Linked DNA regions of Macaca fascicularis. The protein of the gene in region 1 purifies or fractionates together with the protein of each later gene. This does not show direct contact. Links are inferred from orthologs where the notes say so. Each region holds a gene or a part of one and is shown in the gene's direction. Other genes may lie near its edges.

Region 1 (4,679 bases):
CACTGCACCCGGCCAGGACACCTCCTTTGATCACTTTATCTAAGGCACACTCAGGCACCGCATGATTTTTTTCCCCCCTCAACACTGTCAGCCCTGACATAGTATAATACGAATTTTTAAATGCTGTCTCCCTGGGTGGAATGAAAGTCCATGACCATGAGCAGGGACATTATTCCATTTACCAGTTTCTTTGGGGGCTGCTTCTTTACTGGTAAAATGGGCACTTCTGGGTTCAAGTTCCTTCTGACTCGGATGTTTTGGGGATATGAATTTCTGCTGTCTCGTGGCAGGCCTGAATCACAAAGACTTTTTCCCAGATATGGAACTGTATTGCAGGTGGGCTTTTCGTGTTTCCAGGACCCCTGAGACTGTTTTTTTTTTTTTGAGACCGAGTTTTGCTCTTGTCGCTCAGGCTGGAGTGCAATGGCGCGATCTCGGCTCCCTGCAACCTCCACCTCCCAGTTTCAAGCGATTCTCCTGCCTCAGCCTCTCGAGTAGCTGGGATTACAGGCCTGCGCCACCACACCCGGCTAATTTTGTATTTTTAGTAGAGACGGGGTTTCAGCATTTTGCTCAGGTTGATCTTAAACTTCTGACCTCAGGTGATCTGCTCGCCTCGGCTCCCGCAGTGCTGGGATTACAGGCGGAGACTTTTCTTTAGCGCCAGTTTCCCACTATGGGAGTCTGTATCCTGGTTACCACGGAAGATTAGGTTGCATCATAGTCTGGCAATAGTTTTTTGATCTTTAGACACAGTTCAATGAGAAGTATTCGAAGCAGTAAAAATGAATCACATTCCAACTTTTATTAACAAGGGTACTATTAGATGAAAACAGTTTTCATAGTATTATATAAAAGACCCATTTTACTTACCCTAAGGCTAAGATCAATTAACAGAACCCCTGGGGTAACAGCCCAGGCACCAAATCTGACACCTCAGAGTCGTCCTTGACTTCCCTAACCCGCTTTCCCGCATCTCAGATTCTGAGAATTTGGTTTCTATCAAGATGTGCCTCTCAAGCCAGGCCTCTCCTGCCAGGACGGTGGCCACAGGGCCATCTCCCTCTCCTGGGGCCCCAACTGCCTGGTCAAGGTGACTGCTACACACGTGGGGCCGCAAAATCCCTCGAGTCACAATGTCTTCAACGCCTTGTCAGCCCTCTGATCGCACTAAACGTCTTTAAAGCCTCCCACTCCTTTAACAGGGTCACCTCTGTGTAAAGGCGACCTCCTCGTGCTAAGTGTGGCGGCGTTCAAGATTCCGAGACACAGACCCCTCCCGCGTCACTCCCCGGGCACAGGAACTCCTACTCATCCCTCAGTCATCAGCTCGAAGGTTTCTTCTCCAAGAAGCCTGCCCAGCACCCGAGAAGTAGAGCCGCGAGCCTTCTCCCGGGCGCCCAGTCTTCCCCCGTACAGGCAAGGATCACCCCGGAAGCCCGCGCCGGGCCCCGCTGAGGCCAGCGGTTCCTCGGAGGCGCGGGAAAGCCGGATCACCAGCGCGATTACGGCACACACTATGCGGGGCCTGCAAGGATACCGGGCGGCCACTCCTCAGTGGTAAGACAGAGGCTCCGCGGAAAAGAGACTGAGGCCGCGGAAACCCCATACCGCACTCCACGGGACAGGTTCCGCCCCGCCCCGATGACGCTTCCGGATCCGGCGTGTGCCGGAAGTGGGCGGGCGGCGGCGGCTGCGCGCGGAGGCGGTGGAGGAGGTGCTGGGAGCAGCCCGGTGGCCGCTTCCCGCCCCCGAGCCGGAGCCGGTGCGAGTGGAGCAGAGCTGAGGTCGGGCCGCGAGTGGAGCCGGCTGAGCGGGCGCCGAGCTCCCGCCATGGCCCGGAACACGCTGTCCTCGCGCTTCCGCCGGGTGGACATCGACGAATTTGATGAGAACAAATTTGTGGACGAGCAGGAGGAGGCGGCGGCGGCGGCGGCGGAGCCAGGCCCGGACCCGAGCGAGGTGGACGGGCTCCTGCGGCAATATCCTTTCCTGACGCGGCGTCCGGGCCTGCGCGCGGCCTTCCCACCTTCTCGGGCCCCTTCGGGCGGGCCTCTGCTGTCTCCGACCCCCGGCCCCCTCAGGTCAGCCTTCAACTCCCTGCCGACCTGACTCCCCTGGGCCGTGCTCCCCTGAGTCCTGGTCTCCCTGGGTCCTTCCTCCCCAGCCCTGGCCCCTTCTTGTGCAGCGCAGCCCCGCAGGCCCTTGGACCCGGTGGACGGGCTCCCTCGGTAGCCCCGCAGGTCCCGCGCCCCGGGCTCTCTTCCCCTCTTGCCTCCTCGTCCCCTCACGCTGTCCCTTTCTGGGGGCCCCAGCACTCCGTCCCTCCCTTGCAGGAAATCGGGCCTATGGCGGGGCTGGGTCGGCGGCAGGGCGGAGGTGAGCCGTATCTGAGTAACCGAGTGATCGGTGAGGCTGGGGCGCGGTCTTCCGGGGCCAGATTGCCGCAGGGCGTGAAGATAGGTGGGTGGACGGCTGTGGGGAAGACAGGACCCAGGAGGGAGTGGAGGCGGCCGCCCTATTTCAGCCCTGGGGTCTAAGGTTGTGCCTCCCCTCCCCCAGTCAGTCTGACCCTCCCGCTTAATGCTGAGAAAGGGAAACCCTGTGGTTCCTCTGGTCACCTTGGTGGTCTCAGCTACGCTCAGCAAGTGAGTCTTGGCTCCCCCCAGTACCCTTCTGGTGCAGGAAGCAGCGGAAAGAACTAGTAGTTCAGAGCTAAGAAAAACCAGACACCTTGAAGTGAAGTGTGAAAGTAGAGCCCCACGCCTGGAAATGACTGTTCTTGTGGCCACAGAAAACAGCATTTAGAAAAGATTAAAAATAGAGGTGATTGTCACAGCCTTGCTTGGTCCTTTAGCAGTATGAGCGCAGGAAACTGACTTATTCTCACCGGAAGGATTTTTCTTTATTCAAATGGTGTTCCAGGAAGCCTGTCCCCTCCCCCCGCACGGGCGGGGGCAGGGTTGGAGGCCCATGCTGTACATAAATCAGGTTCTCGGTGTTGAACCAGTTGACTCAGCTTGGAAAGTGGGGCCTGCTGCTTTAGGGGGAGCCCGGCAGTGCTCCTCAGTGTGCCTTTAAAACGAAAACCTTCAGACTTGGTTTGAACAGGAATGTGTTTTCGGAAGTGGAGATTCAAGCTTGTCATTCCTGCCCCATCAGGATCCCCCAGTCCACCCTAGTTATGAAATGGGGTCAAGGGAAGGGTCCCCAGGAGGGAAGGTTGGTTGTAGTCAGGTGCAGGGCCTGGCTTATGGAGAGTCAGTGCTGAAGGGGGCTCCAAGGTCAGGCCTTTGGCCCAGGACCCTCATTGAACAGATGAGGAGGTCAGGCCTGTCAGCTGCTGCCTTGGTCTGGGTGCAGAGCCTTGTTGAAGGTCATGTCTTGGGACTCCCCTGCCTGGTGACAGGTTCCTTGAGGCTGCTTAGAGGCCTGGGTTTAGCACATCCCGGGGATGGTCGTTTCTCCATTCATGGCAGCGGCAGAAACCTTGTTACCATGGAGAGTGTTCCACCTGGGGTTGGGGAAAGGGAGGTTAGCGGATAAAGAGAACTGAAACCCTGGCAAATACCGGACCCAGGTAGGGAGGAGAATGGAACTGATATTTATTGGGTCTCTATCATGTGCCAAGAATTGGACTTAGACCATTGAGGACAGGGGAGCAGGGAGAGGGATAGAGGGATTGGGGTTGGGGAGGGCAGAGAGGGACCCTGTCCTGGGGCTATATAGGGAAGTGTGTGTGGCGGGAGATCACGCAGATGGGGTAGAAGGAACTCGGCTGTGCATCTTCGCACACCGCGCGCCATCATGCTCTGGCTCTGACCTCGGATAGGTCACATACCCTCTCACAACTCAGCATTCTCCTCTGTGACGTGGCAGACAGCCGTGCTGGCTTCCTAGGTTCTGTGGGAGCCTCATGGGCTAACATCAGCATCAGGGGGCACACAGCAAGTGTCTGCTCAGGTCTGCAGCTAGAGCGGCAGCACGGGATTGTGGGAGGAGCTTGGGTGCCAGGGCCATCTAGACAGCTTAGTTTTGTGACCCTGTGCAGGTAATTTCCGTTCTCTGAGCCTCAATTCCATTGCCTTTCAAATGAGATAATGATTGTTGTTACTGGGATTTTTGGAATGAGATGGCATGTGAAAGCACCAGGCACAGGATCCGAGACCTTGTGGCGATTTAAAAGTATGAGTTCCTTTCCCCTCAGTGAAGCAGCTTCTAGACTTCTGGATCAGGGCTCTGGCCAGAGCAGTGGTTTTGAGCGATTTTGCACCCCTCCCCTCCACCTCAGGAAATTAGAAACATTTTGATAGTTACAGCTTGGGGATGCCACTGGAATCCAGTGGGCAGAGGCCTATGACCCACAGCTGAGATCCCACGTCAGAGAATCGTGGGTCCACAGTGTCAGTTGTGCCGTGATTGAGGAAGATCTAGAGATCAAGGGCTGGGCAGGGTTCCCCCAGCACCACAGCCTATTCTCTGAAAAGGTCTAAAGCCAGCCAAGTATGACAGCCGGCTTCATGAATGACAGGTGATTTCAGGGAGGCCCTCCCTGCACCCCACATCACCCAGCTGCTGAAGGCCCTCACCCATCAATGGACTGAGTGATTGTTGGACACATGGTGCTGAGGTAACGCCACAGCAGGGGCTTTTTGCCCCCGTGGACTAGTTTTATCCCT
Region 2 (4,545 bases), on another chromosome or scaffold:
CGCTAATCTGCAAACTCTACAAGAGACCTCAACTATTTTGTCCCACCGAATACTCAAGAGTCAGCACAGTCCCTGCCATAACAGAGTAGGTAAGCAATACTTACCTGCCAAGTGAATAAATGAAACACCCGATTCCATCCCCCAGGCCAGCTTAATACCACATTAGATGATCTCACGGACTGAATAAGACATCCTTCCTTTTAAAGAATATTTTTATTTTAGCTTCACATTAGCAAACTCAGAATGGTTTATTGTTAAGATCAGCCTGGTAGAGAGGAAAGCTATTAACCTTCTAGGGTCCTAAAGTGGAACTAGGAACTGATTAGATACGCAGATTTTCAGGCATTATTTCAGACAGCCCAGTCAGAGAATTCTGGGGGTGTGGCCCAGCAATCTGTTTTAACAAACCTTTCGGGTGATTCTGACACACACTAAAGTTTGAAAGGTTTCTTTAAGGCTTTCCAGTTTTCTTTTCTTTTTTTGGAGGGATGGTGGTGGGGGGGGGGTCTCCCTATGTGCCCAGACTGATCTCGAACTCCTAGCCTCAAGCTATCCTCTCCTCCCACCTCGGCCTTCCAAAGCATTGAAATTACAGGCCTGACCCACTGCGGCCCGCCTCCGTCTTTAACTTAAAAAAAATTTTGTTGGGGGGGGCTAAATCCCTTCTATTATCCCGCTAGTAGAATCTTACTACTCCTGAGGGTAATCTTTGTCATAGTCCAAAAGCCTTGAATAAAGGCTGTTTGTAGTTTTGCAGAATATATTCCTGGGCGGTTTGCCTTCCTCAGGAGCTCAGGCCTTGGGAGGTGGGGGTTGGGGGGCAGGGCTACATTCTGAAGTCCTGTAACAACGCACAAGTACAACTGAATAAAACTCGGAACAAAGGCATCAGGGCCACGGTGCAAGCCTTTGTTCATCCGTTCCCCGACTGCTCACCCTGTGTGATATCTCTCTTTTCCACCCAGAAAAGCAGCCACTCAAGTTTTAAGAATGGATGCATGCCGCGGACGTTTTCGATTAGGCCGTTTTCTCCCAGGCACTGGAGGATATTCGTGGCTGCAGGAGGCGCTTCCACTCTTTCCTCAACCTAGCGGAGAAGTAACTGAAACTAACCCAAGGGCTACCACCGAAAAGCCCCTTCCAGCTTCAGAAGCAGAACTAGAAGCTCGGCTAGACTTCTCCGTCTCTACCCTCCTGGAAAACCCGCTGTGGATTTCACTAACTTCAGGATCGGAGCCCCGGCAGGCGAACGCACCTTATTGCGCATGCTCGCTAGCCCCTCCCGCTCGGAGCGGAAGGGGGAGTGCTCGGGGCCTGGGCCCGGCCTGGCCGGGGCGTCGGCACCGGCGGCCATCTTGGCTTCCCGGGGAAAGGCGGCGTGAGGGGAAGAAGTTGTAGGGTGGGGGCAGGAGTGGGGAGGAGGGAAGAGAGAGGGGGAGGAGGCCGCGGCGGGGCAGGGCGGGGACTGCCTGCCTGCTTGGGTTGCGGAAGTGATAGCCGCTGACCGAGCCTGCTGCTTTCTTGCTACTGCTTCGGCTTCCCGGCTACCCCCCGGACGGTGAAGGCGGCCCGGCTGTGGATGGTCAGATAGCGCCTGTCTCCCGCCGCCAATCTCTGGCCCCTAGCAGCACGGAGCAGACGGCGGCAGCAGCAGCAGCAGGCGAGGAGGAAGATGGCGGGACGGCTGCCGGCCTGTGTGGTGGACTGTGGCACGGGGTAAGGGGGCTTACGGGCGGGGGTGGGGAAACTGAGGCGGAGGAAGGAAAATGGCGGGGGAGGGAGGAGGCCGGGAAATGAATGGTGCGGCGAGGTGCTGCCGCCGGCTGTCAGTCCTAGACTCGCCGGCCAGCGAGGGGTGGGGCCCGGAGCCAGGGCCTCGCCGGTCCCCTCGTTTCTCCCTCCTAGGACTGGGGCGGGGGCGCGGGCCCCAGATTCAACCCCCAACCCTCCCTGCAGCTTCCTCCGCGCGACCCCTCCCGGCCCTTCCCCCACTGCGGTGGGCAGTGCCGCCCAGAGAGTGCTAGGGACGGTCGTCTTAGGGGTGGTCCCCGGGCCCGACCCATCCGGCTTTGCTTTCCCTCCGTGTCCCTTTTTGCCAGTCGGTGTGGGGACCCAGGGGCCGAGCTCGGGGACTGGCCTGGTAGAGGAGCTAGAAAAGAGAAGCGCTCCTGGTAGGTTTTGCAAGATCGCTGTGACAACATTCTGCCCAGGGTGTGGGTGGGGAAAGGGAAGAATCGGACTCTGAAAATGGGAACCTACAGTGGGGTTTTCATTTGACCACCCACCTTCTCCTTTCGACTCCCGGTCATTGCCATCTCCCTCTGCGTTTCAACCGGTGAACCGAGTCACATTTTAATTCGAGGGAGAAAGATGTCATGTGTTACTTCTGTAGCCTCAAAAAAGTCCCCCAGTGAGCAAGCGCGCTGTAACTTCCTTAGTTTTGTCAAAGCCGCTTCCTGCTTTCAGTCTTTTATACCCTTATAAGGTAGTTTTTAGTTTCCAACCTGAACACATCTTATTAGAACTTTTAAAATTAAGCAGATTTTAAAGAGACTGAATTACAGGTGCTTGGTATCCATTTATATGACTTAAAAAATGTGCTTATGTTTCATGGAGAGGGGAGAAAGGAAGCACCCTGGGAAATAAACTAATTTAAGTTGTATTCGTTCATTCTGTAAAGGTATCTTGAAGGAAGCAGAAAGGTATAGAGGTATATAGGAATGTGTTTAAGTTGCAAGTAGTTACTCCTAGATCTGTAGGGTAGTTTGCTAAAATGTAGAATGGCTTAAAAGTGATCTTTCATTTTGTATTAATAGACATTTTAGAGAGTTGTACCACACTCATAACTACATAGAGAATAGACTACTCTTATTTTAATGTAGAATCACTGCTTCACGATGACTTATAGGAAAGGGTTCTTTTTTTCTGTTCTAATTACATCTCTCCAATTCCCAAAACACTCCCAATTTTTTTTTTTTTTTGAGGGGGAAGGCAGTGAGAGGCTTGTTTTTTTATTAATTATAATTATTAATTTCATTATTGTTACTTAAAAGATTGTGTGTCCTTCACTCTTTATGTGAAATTTCTTTAATCTTCATTCTCATAACTAGCTAGTGTGGCAGTTTCTAAAATCCCAATTAGGTAGAGAGAAACAACCAACTTCTTAATATTCTCCCTAGGAAAGCACTAGCCTAGATTAGCCTTGGAACTTCCATGTATTTTATTGATGAACACTTTATTATAAAGTTTTTCATGAACACTTTATTATAAAGTTTTTTCTTAATTGGTTCTCATTTCTCGGAACCAATAGTTTTTTTTATTTCCCCCTTCTTAGTCTAATTGATGAGTAGTTTTATGTCTAAGTTCAGTTTTAAAATTAGATTTGGCCTGAGTCAGTAGGATAGAACTTTTTAAATGTGTTTTGTTAAAGTGACGAATATTGCTACATAATTAATGCTTTAGAAATTACTGAGTTGTCAAAAAAATAGTGTAAATAACTGTGGCCCTAAGAAATAATATGGTAACATCTCAAGTAGTATGTTACTTTTCTAATCTCCATTTTTCCCTCTTTGAAATAGTTTCGAATTAGTATACAAGATGTCTCATTGAGGTCATCTGTCCTTAAGTGACCTCCTTTCCTAAAGGGCAACCTTGAATTTAAAACATGCTGAATGACCAGTAGGATCGGGGAGAGGGGTTCAATTTAACCTAGAGTATTTCTGTTTTAAAATTACAATTATTACAATAGTATATTTTTAAGTTATTACACTGGTTTCTCTGATAAGGAGAGGTTGTTAACTGCACTTTGATGGTTTGAATGGAACTGATTAGGAGTCCCCTTGCCACCTCCCTCTCTTTACCATTTGTCACAATCTGAAATTCCCCCTTTAGAGTTTCAGTTATTTTGGTCCTCAAAAGGCTTTTTGGTCTTGCAGGTTGCCAGTGGTGCCTCCTGGGAAGTTACACTTTCAGCTTTATTAGCACATGGAGGATAAGTCCTTGAGGTCGAGGACCCTGAGATAAGCATCTCTAAGTATGGCCTTAACAGGGAGCTTTTACATTTCAAAATTCTGTGGGCCCCGAATGCAAATTGTGCACCTATAATTTGTCTATTTCTTTATGCTTTAGAGAATGCATTCAGTTCTTAGGTCTCTAAATTACAATTACCCACTTAGTTTAAGTAAAAAGTTGTAACCTGAATCAGGTTGCTCATTTCATTCGTTATATAAATTAGGGAAAAGGTGGCTGGAAAAAAGTGGCCATCTGTAAAACTTGATCGTCTTAGATAAGAAAGCTTTTAAGAGTTAGGAAACTTGAAACTTAATCCCAAAACTTGTCGGGATCGTCCAGCAGAACTCAACATATGAATCACCTAGATTCAGGTCATGAAAGAGAATGCTTATTTTGAAAAGAATTTGAAAAGAAATACTTCATTCACATTGATACCCTTATCTACACACTTTTTTGGTTTGTATTGGAAAGTATTGTAAAATACAATTTGGGCACATAGATTCCCATTGATGGCTTAAAAACTAAACAACAGAA

The links.
Region 2: the proteins of ARPC5L (region 1) and ACTR3 purify together in Homo sapiens (affinity purification with mass spectrometry; 6 studies listed by BioGRID and IntAct, counting the BioPlex papers as one, with this or other methods). This does not show direct contact. The link is inferred for Macaca fascicularis from reciprocal best matches to the Homo sapiens genes ARPC5L and ACTR3.

What each region holds. Positions count from the first base shown.
Region 1 is NC_088389.1:19,195,019-19,199,697, reverse strand, and holds the start of ARPC5L (actin-related protein 2/3 complex subunit 5-like protein), read left to right. Parts: upstream 1-1,736; 5' UTR 1,737-1,833; coding exon 1,834-1,983; coding exon of another isoform or gene 1,984-2,084; intron 2,085-2,336; coding exon of another isoform or gene 2,337-2,394; exon of another isoform or gene 2,395-4,470; intron 4,471-4,679. UniProt on the Homo sapiens protein: May function as component of the Arp2/3 complex which is involved in regulation of actin polymerization and together with an activating nucleation-promoting factor (NPF) mediates the formation of branched actin networks.
Region 2 is NC_088386.1:17,948,763-17,953,307, reverse strand, and holds the start of ACTR3 (actin-related protein 3), read left to right. Parts: upstream 1-1,365; 5' UTR 1,366-1,672; coding exon 1,673-1,716; intron 1,717-2,285; exon of another isoform or gene 2,286-2,409; intron 2,410-4,545. UniProt on the Homo sapiens protein: ATP-binding component of the Arp2/3 complex, a multiprotein complex that mediates actin polymerization upon stimulation by nucleation-promoting factor (NPF).